2 linked regions of the Arabidopsis thaliana genome follow. The protein of the gene in region 1 interacts with the protein of each later gene in a pairwise test. Each region holds a gene or a part of one and is shown on either strand. Other genes may lie near its edges. The genes, in order: AT1G53760 and AT5G66830.

Region 1 (3,924 bases):
GTGGATCATCAGATGGTTACTTCGCCGGCGGAAGTTGCCGGAAAGTGGATCAGAAGTTGAATGGGAGGAAGACGATTCAATGGAAGCCGAGGCCGGATAAGTTTCTATTCGCCATTTGTTTGTCTGGTCAAATGAGTAACCACTTGATTTGCTTGGAGAAGCATATGTTCTTTGCAGCATTGCTGAAACGTGTTCTTGTGATCCCTAGTCATAGATTTGATTATCATTACAGTAGAATCATCGATATTGATCGAATCAATACTTGTTTGGGAAGGACTGTTGTGGTTTCTTTTGAGGAGTTTTGGAAGAAGGATAAGAATAGGAAGAAGCATCATCATGTTCATATTAATAGATTCATATGTTACTTCTCGAAACCGGAACCGTGTTATGTAGATAAAGAGCATATTACAAAGTTGAAAGCTTTGGGGATCACTGTTGGAGGGAAGCTAGACACACCATGGGAAGAAGATATTGCGAGGCCAAGCAACAAGACAGCTGAGGAAGTGGAGGCTAATTTTAGATCAGATGACGATGTTATTGCGATTGGGGATGTGTTCTATGCTAATGTTGAGAGAGAGTGGGTGATGCAGCCTGGTGGTCCTGTTGCTCACAAGTGCAGAACTTTGATTGAACCAAACCGGCTTATTTTACTCACTGCACAGAGATTTATCCAGACTTTCCTTGGCAAGAACTACATTGCTCTTCATTTCCGCAGGCATGGATTCTTGAAGTTTTGGTATGATCTATTTTCTACTTCTCTGGTAGTAGCCGTAGATGGTAACTGAAAGTGAGAATTTTATGCTTGACCTTCACTCTTCTAAGTTCTCTTGTATAATGGTAAAGAACTTTGCGCATAGCTACACTCTACATTTGATGACAATGTAGGTATCTTAATCTTGATCAGATAATAGCAGTATTGGTATAGTAACCATTTAGAATTGCGGCTGTACTTTTGTGAATAGATAATTGGAGTTGCACATCTAACTAGCTTAGGCGAATTCCATTGACCAAGTTATCATTTATGAATAAGTATGAGCATTATGAGTTTATATCACTTGTACGAAGAATATGGTGTGTAATTGCTTCTTTTCTATATGGTGTGTAAGATGGATTGTTTTTAATTTTCATAGTAGCTTTTGGTGTAGCTCAGTTCATTTCATTACGAAGATTAAATCAGGAACCTTAGCTAAGAAATTTTCTTGGTGTGCCAGTAATGCCAAGAATCCAAGTTGCTTTTTCCCCATTCCTCAAGCTGCTAGCTGCATCACTCGTCTGATTGAGAAGGTCGAGGCACCGGTTTTATACCTTTCTACTGATGCAGCCGAAAGCGAAACTGGTCTGCTACAATCACTGTTGATACTGAATGGAAAGACTGTCCCCCTTGTGAAACGACCAGCTCGTGATTCAGCTGAGAAATGGGATGCATTGTTATACAGACATGGTCTCGAGGGCGACTCACAGGTGTGTTTTCTTTCCTCCTTCGTATTGAATGAATTGATACATATGCCAACAAAATGATACATGGCATTATCTTATTTTAAAGGTGGAAGCAATGTTGGATAAGACGATATGCGCATTGTCAAGCGTGTTCATTGGTGCCTCGGGCTCAACTTTTACAGAGGATATCTTAAGACTCAGAAAAGATTGGGGAACCGCTTCAGAATGCGATGAGTATCTCTGCGCAAACGAGCAGCCTAATTTTATAGCAGATCATGAATAAAAAGATTAACACGTAAATTAGTCTCTGTCTTGTGAGTTCTCATCACAAAACAGCCTAATTGTCTTCTTCTTTATGTGCATAGTTTACTAGTGTATATCATACAGTAAAAGCCATGCTACAGTTTCTTCTAATATAATCTGAGATTAGTGATGTGTCAGTTTATCATTGCTTCAGTTATAGCAAATAGTACTAACCATTTGTTATTACTGCCTTCTAATCTGTCATTAACCATTTGACATGATTGCAAATAGTACACCATTTGTCATTACTGCCTTTTAAAGAGACAACCTTTGTTATACCAAAATTTTAAGTCGATTTCAAAGACCCTTATATATAAAAACTTGTCCATATATGCCAAGAGACGCGCCGCCGCTTCTTTTCGTCTTTCCTCGTGAAATATTTTAGGCTTTGTCGGTCTCGTTACCTTAAAGTTTCGATTTTTCCTTTGAATATACGAAACCCACGTCGTTTAAAGCAATACCCAGATGACAAATTGACATTTCATAACTAAAGATCGGAGCTTTTTCGTAGTTAAGTGATCATGAGAGCGAGATTGGTGGTTTTTCCGATCAAAGGGAAGAAATGGTGTTTCAGCAGATCTGTTGACCCTTTCGCTGCTCAATCACCGTCTGGTGTTACTCCGACCACTGTACGAGGTTTATGGAAGAAGATATCATCTGAATCGAAACCCATCAATGCCAACGCAGAGCTTCTCGTCGATTTCATCTCTGACAAGGTAAAATTACATTGAAATTTTGTTCTCTCTATAGAATTCATACCCGTGTCTCTATGTGGCGTCTGAAACTTTTTTCTCTTTATAGAATTCATACCCGTGTGTTTATGTGGCGTCTAGTGAGATTTATTGGGTGTATAACATTTCGACCAATGAATAAGCTTTTGGTTCTGTTTCTGATTAAAGGTTTTTGACAACGAACCTCATTTAGGACCACTAGAAATGAGATAAAAGAATGGCTTTTTTTAATCAGTCTTCCTCCTTGATTTCTCCAATACTAAGTTTGAAGAAATGTTGTTGTTGTTGTTGTAATGGTTAGATGAATAAAGCTTGGGTGGGTCTTGAGAAAGCGCCTGATGGATCAATAAAGAACAAGATTCATGGGTTTGTAAAATCTCTACCTTTTTGTATTTTGAGACATTTCTTGAGGCTTTGGTCTTTGTTTGTTGATAGGCTTATTAATGTCAAGTTGTGGTTGGAATGTATAGGTTTGGATTGAAGCTTCTGGCTCGTGTTAAGCCTTCTGAGATTTTCTTGAAGTCTATATCTAAGGAGGTCACTTCTGTACAAGTCACTTATCCTCCGAGGTTCTATTTACTCTCCTTTTCTTGAAATTCTGTAAACTTGAGGATAAGTATCTCTCTTATGAATGTCTTCATGAGTATATATTCTGGTGAATTTGGATTGGTTATCGTTTTAGCTAATCCATGTCAAATGTTTTCAGTTTAGATCCTAGACTCGTACGCAGGAGACTACGGCACATTGCCATGAGGTAAATCACTTTGCTACCCGTTGTCTCAAATGATGAAACTTTATATCCGATTTCACGTGTAATAGATTCAGAATCCCTGTTCCTTCTAACACTTATGTTTTCTAATTGGATTTGCAGTGGAACAATCCTGCACAAGAAGTACCTAGTTGGTTCAGTTACTTTGCTTCCATTGACCAGTGCATTTATGGTATGTATAGTATGAAGCTAGCCCTCAAGAACCTTAGCAACTAACTCGTTTATTTTCATCGAATCTCATAACCACCAAACCCTTTTGTTCTTTCCAATTAGGTATTGCCATTACCAAACATACCATTCTTCTGGGTCTTATTCCGCACATATTCTCACTGGCGGGCTCTTCAGGTCTGTCATAACTTCTCGATACATACTTCCATTATCTAGAGGTTTATATAAACCCGAAATCATCTTTATTGACACTTCAGGGAAGTGAGAAGCTGCTTAAGCTCATCTCAAACGAGGCAAATCCTGATAAACCAGACTCAACTGATGATGCAGATGAAAGCAAGAACAGCAACACCAAGCCGGAACAAAAATCTCAATCTCCCACTTGTGTAAGCTGATCTATTTGTCATCAAAGATACTCAAATCAAAAGTTTTTTTTTTTGGTTCTTAATTGTCTTTGTTTACTCATAAACAGATTTTGCTTCCATCGGAAGAGTTATATCAGCTAATTCGTGAAGC
Region 2 (3,861 bases), on another chromosome or scaffold:
GTTAAACCTCTCTTATGTGTTTGTGTTTATGTGTTAACAGAGGAGGAGCATTTGGTTCATCAAAGGCGTTTCATTGTCTTCTCCTTCTCTCATGTCTATTGCTTTCATCAGTCAATACATTGCATAACTTAGCTGAATATGGTTACAACACTGGTTCTGCTGCTATGGAGTTTCAGGGCTTTATTAATGGTGAAGATTCTGGGAGTGTAGCAATCCAGAAATCTGACCAGAATGTTTGTCCTAGTTCACAGCTGTTTTGTTTCCTTTCAGCTTTAGGATCAGAGAATCGGTCTGATCCATTTGTGTTGGCTTGTCCCAAAGAATCACGGAGTAGCTCTGCTCTGATCAGAAAAAATCTATCTGGTGTTGTGTGGCTATCTCTGAAGCCTGTCCACATCATAGAGTTTCAGCCATTTACTGGATTCTTTCACATTGGAGACACTTGTTACGAGCCTATGTCCAAAGAGCTCTATACTAAGAAGACCACAAGGGAGTTAAGTATTACGGTTTCAGGAAAACAATGTGGAGGAAATGGTTTTATGGTGAACCATCCATGTGAAGGATTTTCATTAGAACCAGGGGATTCCATAAAGTTTCTCTTTTTCTACCAGAGTGAACTCTCTTGGGCATCTGGAGTTGCTGTTTTTGCAGTACCTATGAAGGCGACCGCACCTGTTTTGATGCTTAGTCTCTACAAAAAACCGGTCTTTTGGGTGCGGACGAAGAAATTCGCAATTGCGGTTCTTATTGCTGCAGCTCTACTCATTCTGATATTTTGCTTCAATGATCACTTCATCGAGGAGAACAACAAGAGAAACAATAGCAACCACATGGAGTCGAGAGAAGTTGAGAAACCATCTACGATCACAATATCCCCTGAAATGGATTCTCTGCTAAGATCCATAAGCAAAGAAAGCCTGCAAGTGTTCGATGAGGTTCCCAAGAACAGCAGCAGCGTTAAGCCAGTTGCTTCTTCACACGAAGAAGAAGCATCAGAAGCTGTGAATCTCACTGTAAAGACAGCGAAAGACAAGAAGAGGCGCCGTAACAAGAAAAAGAAGAAAGGAGGAATCAACGGATTAACACCAGAGTGCACAGATGTTTCAAGCAGTTACAGCGGAAACTCAACTCCTAGGTCTCCAATATCACCAGAACCACCTACTACTCAAGCCGCAACGAAGCTAGTAAAGCCTCCTACTAAACCGGTCCTATCGCACTCAGCAACGTTTCCGGTTTCAGGGGTTAAGTCAATGATCATACAACGAAGCTCACTGGCTCCAAATGTGAGAGCACCTGGAGCGAAATCAAGAACCGAAGTGAAAGAAGAGAAAGCGAAAGAGTATAGGTACTATGATATCTGGGGAGATCACTTGACAGGGCTTAATTTGATGGATAAGTTAAAGGAAGTGAGAGAAGGTAAAAGCTCAGGTTTTGATGGAGAGGAGTGTGAGAGTTTCTTTGTTAAGGGTCCTCAGAACTTGTTAGCAGACTCTCACACCAGGTTTGTAAGTTTCTGTAACCAATGGGGCTAACAAAGAAATAAAGAATGAAAAACAAAAATATTTTATATAATAATGCAAGGCCCAATGGGCTTTCTGAGCAGCCACCAAGCCATTCCATTAGTGAGATATAAACACAAGCAACGTCAAACCTAAATAATGAATGTCACGTAGACAAGTTTCGACGTCTTTATAAACTTGAAGGGCTTGGTTAAGATTCCGTCCTATGGCCTCTCCGCTACTCCCTGGTCCACCGGATCAGAGAAGAAATCTCGATTGGTGCTGGTCGAAGCTTCCTTCAGATCTCATGCAATTTGTATTTGACCGCCTTGGTTTTGCCGATTTCCAACGTGCAAAATCCGTTTGTTCATCTTGGCTTTCAGTTTCGAGAAATTCTCAGCCAAACAATCAAATCCCTTGGATGATTCGATTCCCCAAGGACAACAATCACTGTCTCTTGTTCAATCCTGAAGAGGAAGACAAGATGTACAAAACTCCAAATCTCGGCAACGATTTCGCAAAGAGCTCTTGTATCGCCAGTTATGGAAGCTGGCTTTTGATGCAACCTGAATCAGAATACATGGAAGAAGACTTAGACCATCAATGTAATAATCTCTATATTCTTGATCTTCTAACCCGCGAGAGAATCAATCTACCGATTCTCCAACCAGAGTTTGGACTCACATGTCCGATATTATGGACCGATGAGAAAAGCAAAGATCACCTAGTTATTGGAATGGCTCATGAAGAATTAGCCATTTCTTTCAAGAAAGGAGATTCCTCGTGGAAACAAATCCCAACCTTGTCAGGTATCGAAGAGTGTTTTAGCATGGTTTTTAAGGATCACAAACTTTACTGTCTGAGCAATTATAAACTCAAGGTCTTCGATTTCTCTGGAGATATTCCGGTCAAAGTTTTCAAAACTAGCGTAAGTAAGTTGTTAAATAATCCACTATGTATTTCCATGAGAATGAGACTTCCTGGAATTCCAATGAAGGACCAGTTGAATCACTTCAAGGATGATATGGTAGTCACTCTAGCCGGACATGTCTTAATTGTTAAGTGCCATCGTCCGAGTCTGTCCAAGATATGGAGCTTTGAAATCTACAAGATGGAAGGGAACAACAACAAGTGGGAGAAAACTGTTTCTCTGGGAGACGAGACAATTCTTTTGGATTTGGGTATCACAGTGCTCGCCAAGGACATGCAAGGGATCAAGGCCAATTCCATCTACTTCTCCAATCCTACTCCTTATTTTAAAGATCAATATGACGAAAACGAAATCTTCATATTCGACCTCGATTCCAACACCGTTGAACAACCGCACCGATCTGTTTCCTCTTCCTTTCCCCGCTCTAGAGCCCGATGGTTCTTGCCATGTTTCAAACGAGAATCATACTTCCTTCAGTAATTTGTCTTTTTTTTAATGTATCTACGTATTCTTCATATCAAGTATTGCAACATTTAGTAATAAAGAATAAAGCCAACAAACGATACTTGCCATATAGAGTAATAATTAAGCCAAGAACACCATCCTTGATTACAAGGTAATAACTTTTGAGGACGGTCTCGGACCCTCAAGATGAGAGTGAAGGCAAAAAATCACACCCGTAAAAAAAAAAAAAAAAAAAAAAAAAAAAAAAAAAAGAGAAACGGATGATCAAGAGAATCATGAGCCTAGAAAACTTTCTTACGAATCACAGACAAGGGTTGAGAACCGATGATCAGGACGCTTTCCTATGGCCTTAGAACCTGGAAATTGTGTTGAAGTAAGTTTACTTGCAAAAGAGACAAGTACCAAGTTTGTATGATGATGAAAGATATTACTCACGAGGTACGGTGTGTTATCGATAATTTGGTCTGTGATTGTCTCCTTCTCTTCTGTTGTTTACCATGTACAAGTCCCTTGCCCCATGGTTGTAGCTACTATTGAAGTTGGAATGGTAGGTCTGATGGTTCATGTATGGCCCTTGAGTGACCTCACTCTGCCTGTATGTGTCTCCTTCTCTTCTGTGGCTTATCATCATATGCGAGAAGTGTTCCAAGTCCCTCACTCCCAGGTTGTAGCCACTGTTCGAGCTGACATGGGGGTTCTGGTATGGTCTCCTCTGATGAGTAACCGGCACAGTGTGTGTATTGACATGTGGGTTGAATGATGCTTGTCCCTGCGGAGCATTAGAGGCAGTTCTTCTGATGTAGAAAGCTGGTGGTGGTCTTTGGTTTGTTTGGTTTTGCTGTGTTGGATAAGTATAGGAGGCAGGTGGTGGTCTTTGGTTTGTTTGGTTTTGTTGTGTTGAATAAGTATAGGAGGCAGGTGGTGGTCGTTGGTTTGTTTGGTTTTGTTGTTCTGAATAAGTATAGG

What was found.
Region 2: the proteins of AT1G53760 (region 1) and AT5G66830 interact in a protein complementation assay, tested with the Arabidopsis thaliana proteins (one large-scale study listed by BioGRID).

The regions. Positions count from the first base shown.
Region 1 is NC_003070.9:20,069,256-20,073,179, reverse strand, and holds the start of AT1G53760 (K+-H+ exchange-like protein), read left to right. Parts: upstream 1-2,008; 5' UTR 2,009-2,261; coding exon 2,262-2,456; intron 2,457-2,772; coding exon 2,773-2,837; intron 2,838-2,941; coding exon 2,942-3,040; intron 3,041-3,177; coding exon 3,178-3,225; intron 3,226-3,342; coding exon 3,343-3,412; intron 3,413-3,513; coding exon 3,514-3,585; intron 3,586-3,665; coding exon 3,666-3,794; intron 3,795-3,880; coding exon 3,881-3,924. Other genes in the region: AT1G53770 (O-fucosyltransferase family protein), read left to right, coding at 1-761, 858-885, 1,151-1,461, 1,544-1,720.
Region 2 is NC_003076.8:26,689,579-26,693,439, forward strand, and holds AT5G66830 (F-box protein (DUF295)), read left to right. Parts: upstream 1-1,674; 5' UTR 1,675-1,725; coding exon 1,726-2,910; 3' UTR 2,911-3,111; downstream 3,112-3,861. Other genes in the region: AT5G66820 (uncharacterized protein), read left to right, coding at 41-1,532; AT5G66840 (SAP domain-containing protein), read right to left, coding at 3,344-3,861.